Linked DNA regions of Schizosaccharomyces pombe. Changing the gene in region 3 together with the main gene of any one other region gives a genetic interaction. Each region holds a gene or a part of one and is shown on either strand. Other genes may lie near its edges.

Region 1 (6,204 bases), on a different chromosome or scaffold from region 3:
TCCAGAAAACCCTAGGAGACGAAAAAAACCCTTTTCGGTCATAAATGATAACATTGGTCTAAAATATTAGTAAAATTGAAGACTAAGTAATTGGAATTTCTAAACTACTACTTACGTTTCTGTCAATTCCTAATTTTCCAACGTAAGAGGCGAATTCGTCAGCTGGAGGAAGCATATGAGGAAGGGGATTTTTGTGATCTTTAGCCTCATCTATATCAAAGTATTGAGCACCTGGAAGACGACTTTCTAAATACTCCTTCTTTCCGTTTTTAGTGTCTGTTGGCAAGTACCAAGTAGCATCCAAGAGAACGGTTTTTTGAGCATTATCCTTTAATTTTTGCAATACGCCCTTAATAGGCAAAATAAAAGAGATTTTTTTACCAACAGAGAACATTGTTTGAAGCAGAGTCTTATTTTGTTTCAGCGAACTACATAGACTTCGAATTTCAAGTAATCTTACGAAAGTACAGCGTTGGTTGCAGCTCCCAAAATTAATTAACGAGTCAAGTTTTTGGTAAAACCAAATATGTGTGTAAAAATGGTTAGATGCGGTTGCATTGCTTATATACAAATATTAATTTATATAAAATGAAAAAGTACTAGTAATAAGTTCGCCAATAAGCACCAAGACATCAAAATTTTTGAACCACTAGTTTTCTAATTAAAAGGTCTTTTCTGACACTGTCAACAAACATGACTCTAGCATTCTAATAACGTTGACAAAAGAACGTAGTAATTTATAGCTACAAAAAGGGTTGCACGGGTTGCACATACCACTAACTAAGCCGCTTTGAGTGTTCATACTTTTCTCAGCCAACTAGAAAGTTATTAACGCTAATTTTAGGTCTCAGGTAAAGCGAATTTGTCAAGTGCTTGCTTACAATAACATTAACACACTTTAACCAAGTACTTTAACAAAAGGGAAAAATGATCAAAGTAATTCCGACAGCCCTATCCTCAACATGGAATTGACATTTCCAATACTTTTCAAGCAAAGTAAACCCACCTAGTAATAAGGATAATTCCCATTCAAAAAATGAAATGATCGCGTGTCTATCAATAAATCCATAAATAAAGCTTAAATCATGAAAAACTTAATGTACAAAATAAAGGGAAATAATAATAAATAAATAAATGGGTACAAGATTGGGTCCGAAATTTTAATGGATACAGCTTACTCTAAGGCGAACTTCTTCTAATTAATTCATCGTCTCTGTTTTAGTCGGGCAAGAAGAGTGCTTGAAGTAATCGGACCTGATGGTTTAGAAGTACCAGGAACATTAGTAGATTGCTGCGGAGGTATAAGTTGACGAGGAGGTCGCCGAAAAGATGAAACTGCACGCAGAGCTTCATTAGCAACACGCGTCGCTTCTTTTTCAACCAATATGCTTTCAGTCTGGGAGGCTTCCATGATATCGTCGTGCTTTAAAGTACTCTGAATACCAGCACTAGCAAAAATATCATCAAGGACGGAATCATCCCCTAAAGTCGAATCAGAGTTTGTCTTAGTAACATTTGACTCTTGCGGTGGTTTATACTTTTCCATCGATGCAATCCCCATTTTTTCAAACACTTTGGAGCTGTTAACTTTTTTACCTTTGTCGTGAATTTTGTGCTTTTTTCGGTCACGAGCTGGAATATCTTCAGCTTCATTGCCATTTCTTGAGGAATTATCCTTTCGAAGTACTCGTTCAGATCCCAAAAACATGCTGCCTGTCTCAGTGCCCTCAGTCTTGTTATCGCCTAACGTAAACAAATCGTGCAAGTCCGTCATTTTAAAAAACCTTCTTTGTTTTGGATCTTTCAAAATTTTGTTAGTCAGAAACTGCTTAAAGATTTGACGATGATAAATTTTTTCTTCAATAGTTCCAGCAGTCATCAACCGATAAACTACTACATCTTTCTTTTGGCCCAGTCTCCAAGCACGTTCACGTGCTTGAGCATCCGTTGAGGGATTCCAATCAGGATCAAAAAGAATTACCCTGTCAGCACCAGTCAAATTGACTCCTAATCCACCAACACGAGTAGTTAGAAGAAACACATCAAAATACTCATTTTTATTAAAGTTGTCCACCAAATCTTGTCTTAAAGCAATAGATGTGCTACCATCCATGCGACAGTAATGAACATCCGGCAAATCCTTTAATCCTATTTCCAGTATGTCGAGCATTTGGCGAGTCTGAGAAAATAGAAGAGTTCTATGTCCTTGTTTTTTCCACAAAGTTAGTAATGCTCTAATAACCTTCAGTTTGCCAGACTTTTCAGGATCACCATAGTTGTAATCTTCTTTATGTAACAAGTACTCTCGAGTTACAAGATCTGGATGATTACAAATTTTTCGTAGTATATCAATTCCATAAAGCATTTGACGCTTTCCGTTCAAGATCTTTTGCATATCAGAGCCTTGCAAAAAATCTTGGTAAGCTTTCCTTTGTAAAGGAGTCAGCTTACAGAACAATACTTGTTCGGACTTCTTAGGTAAATCTGCAGCAACGTCAAGCTTCATTCTTCTAAGTAAATAAGGAGAAATTAAATCTCGAAGCATGCAGGCGCATTTATAAGCGGTTTGCACTTGAACATTTGAAGCATTGGCATAACCACCAATATTAATAGGTAAGGCAAATTGATTTTGAAATACCGGTAATGTACCCAATCTTCCAGGAAATACAAAATCAAATAAATTCCAAAGCTCGGTAAGGTTGTTCTGGATCGGAGTCCCTGAGAGGATAATCCTATTCACAGTACGGATTTGCTTACACGAAATAGATATTTCAGAATCTGGGTTTCGTATTTTGTGCCCTTCATCCAAAACACAATAACCCCATTCCCGTGGTAAAATCAAATCACCATATATCCTTAAACCAGCATATGTTGTAATTAAAATGTGGCCTCTAGTGAAGACACTTTCAACTAAGTTCTTAGCGTATCTGTGGAATGAACTTGAAGCACCTCTTAATTTTATGGAGGTTTTGCTTTCTTCCGCTTCACTTTCAGAAGCGTCAGATTCATACTGTCTCTTTTCGCGTGAAGCACGCTGTCCGCTGCCAGTAGCATGAAGAACAACAACACGTAATGGAGCCCACCATGTATGAAACTCATTAACCCACTGCTTCATTAAAGTCGCTGGACAAACGATAAGTGCAGGCTTTTGAAATTTGCCAGAGTGATGCAAAGACGAAAGGAAAGATACTATTTGAATAGTTTTTCCTAGTCCCATTTCATCACCAATGATTCCTCCGGCCTCTTGACAATAGAGTTCCCATAACCATTGTACGCAAGTGACTTGATAACGGAAAAGATGTGGGCGAATATCACCTGGGATGGTAAATCCACCCTCAAAAGTCTGTCCTTTTTTGGAAGGATGAGGTAGTAACCACTCATCTTTACCTTCAAACTCTCCTCTATCTTTATTGTTTTCAGATGCTGAGGCCTGATCTCGTAATTCCTTACGATTCGCACACCAAGCATTAAGCCTTTGTCGATATACCAAATCATCTCCATCATCTATAGCGGCAGTTACTACTTTCTCCGTAACAGCATCCACAGTTACGTACTCATCTTTTTCGTCTCTTGGAATAATCCCATGATCAATATTTGACGGCTCCGAACTCAAATGAGGTGCCGTTTCATAGTATGTTCCTTCAGACTTTATAACAGCCTCACGAATGCTAGATTCATCATCAAAATCAACTTCTTTTTGTAGTCCAGAGAGATTTCGAAACGGTGTAACCTTACCAGTACGGATGAGCTCTTGTCTTTCCAATTCTTCAGTCGAAAATGCACCTATACCAGGGGCATTTGCCGAATCTTCGTTATTAAGTCTTCTCTTAATATCATTTTCGTCTGATTGTAAACTTTGAAGAGTGTCTCGGAATTTAGATAATTGTTTGCGGAAGTTCTCCTTGACACTTATTTTTGTAAGTCGACTGTCTATACGCTCATCAAGGCGACGTATTTTTTCTTTTACAGAAGATATTTCTTTCCTGACTTTTTGAAGTCTCTTCTTTTCGATCTCTCGACTTTCATGTGCAATGTACTCACTAGCAGTATTCGTAACATCGCGTTCCAAATTCTCTTGGTCAACCGAAAAAACCCCTAAATGGGATAGATCTTCATTGACACTCATATCCTATCAATTTCTTAAATAAAGTCTCATTTTCAGACTCACTGCAAATTTAAGAAAATACTTTGTTGTTTGGTTAAGGGCAAAATTACATATTCCTTCATGCTGCTCCTGTTATAGCGAGAAGCAATGAACCACACAAAGCAATAACGAATAAATCCTTATTTCTAAATGACATTGTCAATGCTAGATAAACTCACGTTTCTGCGCGCGGATTGTATATTCGCAGACTTTTAAAGTAATGGAGGTGCAAAAGGGTTTAATTGAAGCTTTTTATAATACATATCCATTAGAAAAGGCAAAAGAACTGGATAAGAGTCCACTTTGTTCTGAATATGAATTATTCATCAAAGAATTATGGCCTTCGATTGTTGAGAGTTTTCATAACTCAACTGAGTTTGAAACGGCAATAAGATTTTGCTGTTATGAAACAGCAGTATGTGCTTTTTCCATAATGAAGTTTTCCTTAAGTTACTAATTGTTATTTTCGTGTAGCGCAAAAGTGAGATTGGATTGGAGGAGCGATTAAAATGTTTATTTGCGATTTTGGATCTCTTAGTAATAGGGAACGAAATTAACGAAAGCTTCTGTGATCACCTGTTGCCTTTTCTAATCTTGGAAGAGCTGATGGACATTCACACCGTCAACGAATGCGCCAAATTATATGAATATTTTGAAACCAGACCTAGCTTGATGAAAGGTATTGTCAGCAATCGTGGAAGAGGACCCGTTTTGCTTCGGATATCAAATGAATTACTCCGGCGTCTTTCTCGGCAAGAAAATTCATCTTTTTGTGGGCGGATCGATATTCTGCTAAGTAAGGCTTTCCCCCCTGAAGAACGGAGTGGAGCCAATTTACGTGGAGATTATAATACTGTTCATTCTTTTGGGAAGGTAGAACTGTCACCACCATCCACACCCATTTCGGACCGAACAGACCTCTCATATCACAAAAAACTTAATACCTTATTTACTGCTTATTGGGATTTGCAGTGTATGTGCTCCAACCCTCCTAAATTACTAGCAAGTGATACCTTACCTAAGTTTATAGATGCAGCTGGTTCTGCAATACAGGCATTCGAATCTATATTACAAAATACGTTCTTCAATGGGAAGTCAAACCCTACAATTGATCCAAACTCTAGCTCATTACTTTCTGAAAAATATATAACTTTGGATAAAGGATTTCCTTCTAAATATATATATTCTCGGTCGCTTTTTGAATACCAACTTTCAGATGAAGATTTCCGGTTACAGGCTATTTTACAATTAATTATTATTTTCGACTTTTTGCTTGACCATTCTAAAGAACGAATTGAAAGGAGAACTCTTGAAAAATGGACAAATAAGGCGGTAATTCCCATTGTTATTTTGTCTGACGAAGATGTATGTTCTTTTTTAGACTCGAAAAAAACTGATTTTATTGATTGCTAATATGTAGACCTCAAAGTTAAATGAATTATCCAAAGAAGCATATAGTTTCTTACATACTGCCCGGTGTGGTTCTGTGCAAAGAACCATTAAAGAAATTATACATATTGAGGGTAATTGGAAATTATGGAAAGGGCTTGGCTGCCCTTCCCTTGAAAAACCCCTAGTAGATAAAGCGGCTATTGATGAAGCTGTCGAAGGCTTAAAAAAGCTTACAAACACCCCAGTGAAATTAAGATTTGCTATGGGAAATGCTGCTTTGTCGAGGCTCTGGGAGCAGGCTGGAGAAAATACCCTTGATGATCTCAAAAAGGAGGAAAGGTACCGGATTCCATCACCTGAGAGCTTTTTATCTGGCGTTAAAGCAGACAAGTTTGAAATAGAAGAGGCAGTTAGAGATGATGACAAGCATTTCCATGAACAGTCCTTGGCAACGAAGACATGGCGTGCCTTTCGTTCAGCAATTAATAGCCATCTTCAAAACTTTTCGGATACCGGACTAGGTGATGTTGAATTGCTTTGTAATTCCATTGAGGGCAAACCGACTACATCGAAAATTACACCCTCTATTCCTCCAGCTTTTGATATTCATATTATAGAAGGAGAAGAGTTATTAGAGGAAATGAAAAAGAGGGAGAATGTCAAGCACA
Region 2 (4,159 bases), on a different chromosome or scaffold from region 3:
AATTTCTTCAGTAAATGCAAAATGCAAAATGTTATGATTTACAATCAAATCACATGTCCTAGCAAACCAGTTCTTCCATACATACCAAGGTGCTCTTTTTCATCTTCCGGAACGTCTTTAAATCCAAAATGAGTCATGTGGCTTGAGGTATCAGTATCTTTCGAGCTAGTACTGGTATAGCGACAATTAGACAATCGAGAGCCAGCCAAAGCTGTAGACCTGATTCCTTTCAATCCATCAGCTAAAAATTTAGCAACAGGAGCTCTTAAACGTGACATGATACAGCAGTTTCAAAAACGAATACCAAGTGTAACGGTTTTGTTTATGGATAGTGCTAGGTAGAAACTCACGATTTGAAGGGAATCTGATGCTACCTATATACCGCAATACACTAACATACGCAATTTCCGATGGTAAAGCAAAGGTAAATTAAATATATGGGAAATGATAAGAAAATTGAATAAATATTATGAATCATAAATAAATAAAAGTTCAAAGGCTCAAGATTCTGGAAAGAAAACGCTTGCGACCTTGGCGGAAAGTGCTGGCCCTATTGTTTGAAAACCATAGCCTTGACAAGTCTTATTCAGTAATAAGTTTCTTTCCTGGCTAGATGATGACTTTTCGTACGCCTCAAATAAATGCATGAATGTTGGATATTTCTTCTGAATCTCGATGGCTTTTGAAGCACTTATACCTTTTATAGTCATAAGCATTCGAATAAAAATATCCCCCACGGTCAAAGTAGAAGACTTCGAGAGGACAGAGGAAAATGCATGGTATGATATGTGGTAAGGAGTTGAGGGATCAATTTTTAGAAGTTGCTCTCGTAACGACTCATAAGTTTTGGCTTCTATCGACAAATCGGGAATGACAGCGAGGGTTTTACGTTTCTCATAAAACAGGTTAATTTGCTTTGTCATTTCAGCAAGCAAACTTACGCTGTGTTCAAGTGATCGCGTATGACGGACATGAAATAATTGATCGACTTGGGTATTGCTAACAGCTGTACGAATTGATTCCGTGAAACTTTCATCATAAGAGGATTCCTCCAAAATGTAGGTGACTGAACGTATTCCGCTCTTCTTTAGACGTGCCTTTTGTTCGTGAAATCTTCCGTCCTTAATGGAAGCAACTAAATCATCATATCTTTTCCTTTCAACGACAAAATCCAACACAACTTCTTGACCGCTTTCCATATCCCTTGCAACCCATAAAGCATCTCCCAATTCTAATGATCGTACCTGACAATTGACACCAAAGTCATTAGTCAGTTTATCGATAATAAGATTGCGATCCAAGGGAGAACGTATTTCTCGAGTATCAATCAGAAGAAAAACCGTACAGTTTGAGAATAATACCGTCTCGATTTTTAAGTTAGACAAATTGCTTTCATTTGGTTGCTTTTTTTCTTGTTCCGTCAAGTCAATCAACTGCTCATTGTTAATGATATGGTGATCATGAATTCCGGTCAACGAATCCACCTGATCAACATCTATATCGGTTTCAACACCATCAGAAACTTCATTATGATCTACCGGACAGTAAGTAACATGTAGTTCACCTCCGTGGTCTGAAGAACTTCCTGCTTTATTGATTGATGTAACAAAATTTGGAGGTTGGCATAAAGAGGAATCATGATCATCGGATTTAGAGACAGAAAAGTTTGATACAGTATGTTTCCGTTGAAAGGAATCGTCTACTTTTGCCAAACGTATGCAAACTTCTTCACCATCGTCGGTCAAGCAGTACTTAGAGGGATGACCTGTCTGGTAAACTAAATTTTTTGTGATCAAAGTCTTCATAGCACTCCATGCAGTATAACGCATGTTTCGGTCTGTAGCAGATCCAAAGGACGAATCACAATACGGTTGGGCCATCGTAACAATTTGAGGCTTTGTAGCGAATTCGTGTTTATTAAGCATATAAAGAGCGCAAAGAATTGAATATGCACCAGAACGATAGCTCGGAACATAGACCTTTCTCTTTCTTGTAGTCGGTTTTTTAACGCTTCGAGGCTTTTCAGAAGAAGTCTCAGAAGACGATTTATTAGCATTGACATGAGAATCATTCTGTTCATTGTGCGTGCTAATTGGAATATTATTTTCCAAACAGTAAGCGTTCCATTTCTTTTCTAGCTTGGCACAAATCGTAGGGCCAATTCCCTTCAGTGCCAATGCCTGAGAAGGACGATGAAATGTGATGGGGCAACTTTTCATTGAATCGTAGGCCTAATTATTAGCACGGTTTCTTATTTAAAACAACAACAACAGTGATTGTTATGATATTTATGGAGTACGAAGCTATAAAAGCTTTCGAAAAATTACAGTCATTATTAATTTAATATTTAAATTATTTATTTTTCAAAGAGTTTTTCACTAATCCAATAAATTTCCTACCTTTCTCCAGGTTTGATATGACTTGGGGAAGCGACGCGTCGACTCTTCCATCCACTCCTGTATCCATTGTAAAAACAGCGGATTTCCACAATCCATGGATCCGAAAAACAAAGAAAAAAACTATTTCATTCAAATTATCGATTGTCACACGAAACAAAAGTCTAAACAAATGGATGTGGATAGAATGCGATTTCCTAAATTTCGTGTAAAGACATTAGCATGGTTGCCGGGACAACCGAGATTTTATGATCAGTATAAACAAAATAAAGAAAACAATTATAGGTGAACAAAATAAAAAATCATTATCATCATTATAAAACAGTTTCTCGTGTATTAGGGTATATTTTTAGAAAGTTTGTGAAATGATGAAGCTTTAGATCATAATAAAGCCATACTTGGATGATTTTCTGTTTTCCTAAAAGGAAGGGGTTTAAGAAGATCCCTTTTGTTTCTCGAGCTGCTTGGCAGAAGTATATGCTCTTTGGCGTTCCCATAGGACAAATTTGATAGCTGCCATGGTTTTATTGACTGCAAGTACACGCTCATTTGAGGCTTTGGGAATAGTCAACTGTAAGCGTTTCATTTCAGCCCTTTGTGTGAACAATAGGTTCTTCTCTCGGAGACAATTGTACCAAAGTCCATGTAGATCATTAAAAGACTTCCAACGAAGCTCTTCTGCAGCCCATGCTCTACCGAATTTAGCCTCTTCCGATGGTGGTGGAAGGGCTTGCTTGTCCCGAAAGAAATTCCACAAAGGGTGCGTGTCTGAAACCTTAGGAGCACTTTTTACTTTTGGAACAGGAAATACAAAGCCCTTTGGAATACGTACGGCTGCTTTCTGAGCGCTAGCCAACGTGGACCTCATCTTTGGTGGTAAGTAGAAGGTGCGCTGTAACACCCTGACATTGACCGATAATAATGGTTGTAAGTCATACTTTAAAAATAATTATTTTTTATTATACTTCATTGACTTTCTTAATTATTGCTAAATTGAGAAATTGTTCATTTCCTTATTTTATTTTATTTTAAGATTTCATGGCGAGGAAACATTCCAAACGAAAAGTTTATAATGTAAACAGAAAGTGTGTAGGGCGATTTATGTATTTTCCCTAGATTTGTTATCGAGTGAAAAGTTTGAATCCATGAAGGAAATACTAAAGTACTTTGATTTGCAGCTAATACATGGTGTAATGATACATTGCTTTCGACCGCTTATAAATTTATTTCGAGATTAACGGGACGCAACCGTTTAATTAAAAACGGGAAGTAAAGAAATTTTTTTTGTCTATACATTTAGAAAAATTTGTTCAGTTTCATAAAACAGTAGCACATAAATTTTGAGGATCATCGGTGGGGAAAGAGACAGGCACCAATTTAGGTACCTTACGGTTTCGTTGAAAAGTAGGAAGTAAAGAGGGTTGGAGGTGAGGGTATTCTTCGACTGTTGCTATTTGATAGATGCTACCGGAACGGACCAGTTGACCTTTATTTACCATCCAACGAATGGCCTCGGAAGCGCTGTCGTGAAAAGTTGGTAACAATGGTACGTTTTGAGCAAGCCAGTTAAATATTTCATCTTTGGAAGGTGAGAGGGTGTTACGAATAGCTAACCGTATTAACGTTGGATAGTCGTATAAGGTTCCAGAATTCGCAACATAACTTGCGGTATAGGGGACAGGTGCAGGCTCATCAGAGGGAGCTTCATCTTGTTTAGCATGAAGTCGCTCTTGTAAAGATATTTGTTGGCGTTCAGAACTAAC
Region 3 (4,469 bases):
ACTTAAAAGTTGAAAGGCTAAGGGGTCGTATCCTGCACCTAAATTCACTATTGCCTTTCTTTTGCCGGTTTTATTCTTCAAAAACTGGTACACTGCAAATCGAATAGCCATGCATCGTGTCCAATAACCTCTATTTACGCTTGGCGATCTTCTAGGTGATTTCTGTATAAACGGTTGATAATAAGAATGTCCTACGGTAAAACCTGGATATCCACATTTTTCAACTGAGGCTTTTGAAAGAATTGAGCTGTCATTGGTTTTACGAACTTCTCTATCTTTTGACTTAGTTTTCCTTTGATTTTTGTTTGACATTGTATATGAATAAAGAGAAGCTCATTTAATCTTTCGAAGCCTTGAGAATTTTTGCAGTTAAGTTACACAAGCTTACGAAGATTAGTGGAAAGGAATTATAATATTGATCAGAAAACGACAATACCAATATGACCGGAATTGCTTAAAGTTTTACATAATTCGTGTAAATCGTAAATTACTAGTTTAAATTTTATATTTAATTGAAATGTTTTATTGAAATTTGATTGTAAATAAAACAATAACTTTTAGATTAAATATTAGCATGGACAGTAAGCAAATAAGAAAATAAATAGTACTCTAGTGAATTTTTTCGGAAATATCTAGAGCCAAAAAGACAAAAATGATTGCATTGAAAATGCAGATGGCTAAATTATGCCATAAATCAAAAAGTATGACGGATTTTTATTTTTCATCCTCTTCTACTTCTTCTTTTCTACTACGCCTTTTTCTTGCAGTTAAACGCTTTTCAGCTCCGGGCGGATAATATCCATCTCGAGTTTGATCGTATTCAGGCCCCATAATTTCAAGAGGACATGGTGGATTTTGTAACTCATAACGTCTACACAATTCAAATACAGCCTGTTCCTTTTCCTTAGCTTCTATCATTAGATCCATTGTAGGATCACACGGTGGAAAGTCAAACACCCTATCAGAGTGAGCACGTCGTTTCATCCCAGAAATCGCCGTTGGATCAGCCGATTCTGAGTAATGTTGCTTCTGTGTAATTCCCTTTCTTGTCCAGGTTTCTCGAATAGTTGGGATTAATGGCATTAAATCTAAACTTCCTTCACGAAGCGTTCCTGGCACTATGTTGTGATGATGCCAATCCAAAACTAGAGGAATATTAAGTTCTTGGCATAAAGGTAATAAATCTTGAACTGACCAAGAAACATCATCGTTTTCTAAAACTAAACGAGCTTTAACCGAATCAGACAAGCGTTGATAATTTTTACGAAACCTATCCAATGTTTCTTTTTTTCCTTCAAAGGTACCACCAAGGTGAATAATTAAAACAGCGTCTTTATTTAATTGTTCATTCAACTTCATACGACTGAGAATTTCATCATGATAAGCCAAATCACGTATTGCCGAATCAACTACGACTTCTCGTGGAGAGGCTATCTGGGTGTACTGACCAGGATGCATAGTCAATCGATGATTATATTTATTTGCCAGCTTGCCCACCTCCTCGAGATGAGATTGTGCAAATTCAAGGGTATATCCATACTTTGCATGGCTTGCGAAAGGAAATAAATCAGAACTCACTCTCATGAAGTGAATGCCAAAGTTGTGATTCCACTCAACCAATTTGATTAAATCTAAAACATTTTGCGTACCTAGCTGCTTGACACTTTCGAGCCCATCACGTTGAATGGTTGTAATTCGGCAGGTGCGTGAACAAAAAACCCTCTCCTTCATTGACCTTAAAATAGTATTCAAACAAGCATACCCCAATCGTCCTCGCCAGGGTATGGGTTTGTCCAAACAATCAAACATCTCTCGTGGAGCATGATCATCAAGATTCATTGTAGATTCTTTTTCTAAATTTTTTGCAGAAGAACGAGACCGTCTTCGTTTAGAAATTGGAGTTTCCAACTGTTCCGGCACAACCGGTTCGAACTCGTCAGAGCTACTTTCATTTTTAAGAGACTTTTCGTCGACTTCTTCAACATACTCCTCTTCCTCTTTTTGTTTAACTTTTTTAGTAGCTTTACTAATTTGCTCCTCCGATTCGGATTCTGACGAGGAATTGTAGTTGACCGGTTTTTTTGATCTCGACGATCGCCTAAGATGAGTTGAAGAATCATAGGACGCAACAGACTCATCAATTTTATCGGAAACAGAATCTGTCGCTTTCTTTTTACTGCTACGTGCCCTCTTTCGTGTAGACGTAGAAGTACTTTTTTTGTGAGGTCCACTGATATTAGCTAACTCAGTCTCATTTTCTTTTTTTAAGTCGACTGGTGTTTCGGCAGAGAATGAATTCGCACCGATATTAACTTGCGGTAACATTGAGAGTGTGGTTTTTGAGCTCATTGGAAGTAAACTTTTAAGGGTATCGGGTAAACAATGAAAACGAGAGTAAGTAATGGTACAAACCGACGGTACACAAGGATGATTACCTTTAAATGCCTTTTGTTTTAATATGGTGAAAACAATGCGTTTAGAGATTTGAATATTTCGTTTCAATAGCCTAAGCATTAAAAAATGAAAACGATTTTAGTATCAATATGACATTATTTAGAAGGAAATAAGCCCTTCGCAAACTTGCTTATATCCCTACAACTATTATCTTGTAAGTGAAAAGAGATATCGACAAGAAGTGATTGAGACTCAATACTAGTCAAAATCAACGAGTGTGAAGACAAATCTTCTTTCATTCCCAGTAAACCAAAAATGGTTTTGTATCATTGTTACGTCAAAATTCGCTATGATTTTATTGGAAGGCCATGAGATTACTGATGCTCAAGGGATTCAACTTTTGACAGTTATTGTTCAGTGTAGATAGGACTGCTTTTACGAGGAAATTTTGGTTTCTCAAATCGAGCTTAGTTTAGCAATACAATGTTAAGTAAAAAGATTGTGTTGCTTTCTCTTTAATAATTGCAGATTCAGTTGAACAATCAAAAAAACAGCAGATAGGAAAAAACATTTGAAATGAAAATTTGGCCAAGTCAAGGAGTCGCGACAATTTATTTTACCATCTGTAGCATATGTGTGTATGGGAAGCAGAAGTAGGCGGATTCGGGTCATTTATATTGTATTATGAACCGTCTTAATGCTGCTTTCTGCTGACATGGACATCTTTAAAAATATACAAACAATTACCGTGTAATTCACAATAGATTTAATACCATCAGCATTAATGAGTTGGTTGAGAAGCCATCATTGCGAAATCGCAATGTAGGTAGAGTAAACGAAGCGAATTGTTTACGATAAAATACAGTATATCTTTAGAACCGTAGATAGCTGCATCAGCGAAACGATTGGTTTTTTCTGCAAATACTATTACAACCAGTAGCATGAAGAACGCTTCTTACTGCCGCATCGTTTTTGCCGACCTGGCTGATCGATTGACAAAACAAACTTCTAGCAGAAATAAATGATCAGCGCTTCTTATATTTAACATTTGGCAGCGTGCTGCCCGCGTGTGAATATTTTCCTTAAGTTTGTATCCCAACAGAAAAGCGTAAAAAATTGGAACCACATTGAATCTTCAAATAAACAATATTAACATTACATTTCAGCATAAGCATCGACTATACATGACCTCGAGGTGTTTAAAGAATTAGTAATTCTTGCTTTGCACATAGTTTATAACGAAGTACGTCCTAGCATCACTCGATATTATCATTTAAGGTAGCACCACTATTGCTCTATACAATCAGCTATTACATAAACGTTGTAAGAGAGGAATTATACAAACGTCGACGACGGCGATTAATTGTTACCTTTCCCCTTAATTGAATACCATGACTGAGAATGAGAAAAGCAGGTCTTTACCTGCTGAAAGGTTCGTATATTTAAAGAAAACGACTAATTGATATTAGAAACCCTCTCTATAAAGACGATACACTTGACCGTACGCGCTTCCCGAAATTACGTGAAACTAATATAGCAGATACACCATTAATCCCAAAGTGTCGCGCTCAGGTAATAGAATTTCCTGATGGACCAGCTACTTTTGTTCGTCTCAAGTGTACAAATCCGGAATCTAAAGTGTAATTATCTTTTTTTTGCAGTGTTGTTTTTGGAAAAATACTAATGATGTATATAAATATAGACCTCACTTTCTTATGAGGATGGCAAAGGATTCAAGCATTAGTGCTACGTCAATGTAAGCGTTTTTTCATATCTTTTTCTAAAAATCTAAACCCGATTAGGTTTCGTTCAGCTTTCCCTAAGGCTACCCAAGAAGAAGAAGACTTGGAAATGAGATGGATTCGTGATAATTTAAACCCAATTGAAGACAAACGTGTTGCTGGACTATGGGTGCCTCCTGCAGATGCCTTGGCTCTTGCCAAAGACTACAGCATGACCCCGTTTATTAACGCCTTGTTAGAGGCATCCTCCACTCCTTCAACTTATGCGACTCCTTCACGCCCCACTGCGCAGAAATCAGAGACATCTGAGGGGGAACCTGAATCTTCGACATC

The links.
Region 1: of uve1 (region 3) and rhp26, changing one enhances a phenotype caused by changing the other (phenotypic enhancement), as found in Schizosaccharomyces pombe (3 studies listed by BioGRID).
Region 2: mutations in uve1 (region 3) and mus81 impair growth when combined (synthetic growth defect), as found in Schizosaccharomyces pombe (2 studies listed by BioGRID, with this or other methods).

What each region holds. Positions count from the first base shown.
Region 1 is NC_003421.2:1,178,432-1,184,635, forward strand, and holds rhp26 (SNF2 family helicase Rhp26 ), read right to left. Parts: upstream 4,208-6,204; 5' UTR 4,127-4,207; coding exon 1,205-4,126; 3' UTR 501-1,204; downstream 1-500. Other genes in the region: thiosulfate sulfurtransferase Tum1, read right to left, coding at 1-58, 116-394; THO complex subunit Tho1, read left to right, coding at 4,365-4,559, 4,619-5,509, 5,565-6,204. UniProt on the Schizosaccharomyces pombe protein: Involved in transcription-coupled repair (TCR).
Region 2 is NC_003421.2:461,056-465,214, reverse strand, and holds mus81 (Holliday junction resolvase subunit Mus81), read right to left. Parts: upstream 2,496-4,159; coding exon 2,400-2,495; exon of another isoform or gene 2,391-2,399; intron 2,234-2,390; exon of another isoform or gene 2,232-2,233; coding exon 501-2,231; downstream 1-500. Other genes in the region: coq5 (C-methytransferase), read right to left, coding at 86-278; mrpl4 (mitochondrial 54S ribosomal protein uL29m), read right to left, coding at 2,830-3,264; PHD finger domain-containing protein Phf1, read right to left, coding at 3,713-4,159.
Region 3 is NC_003423.3:2,837,072-2,841,540, forward strand, and holds uve1 (endonuclease Uve1), read right to left. Parts: upstream 2,515-4,469; coding exon 715-2,514; 3' UTR 501-714; downstream 1-500. Other genes in the region: tRNA methyltransferase Ppm2, read right to left, coding at 1-312; integral nuclear inner membrane protein Bqt4, read left to right, coding at 3,786-3,826, 3,864-3,895, 3,935-4,034, 4,097-4,150, 4,197-4,469. UniProt on the Schizosaccharomyces pombe protein: Endonuclease for the repair of UV-irradiated DNA. Involved in the excision of cyclobutane pyrimidine dimers (CPD) and 6-4 pyrimidine pyrimidones (6-4PP) which forms the UV damage repair (UVDR) pathway. Also functions in oxidative damage repair in vivo.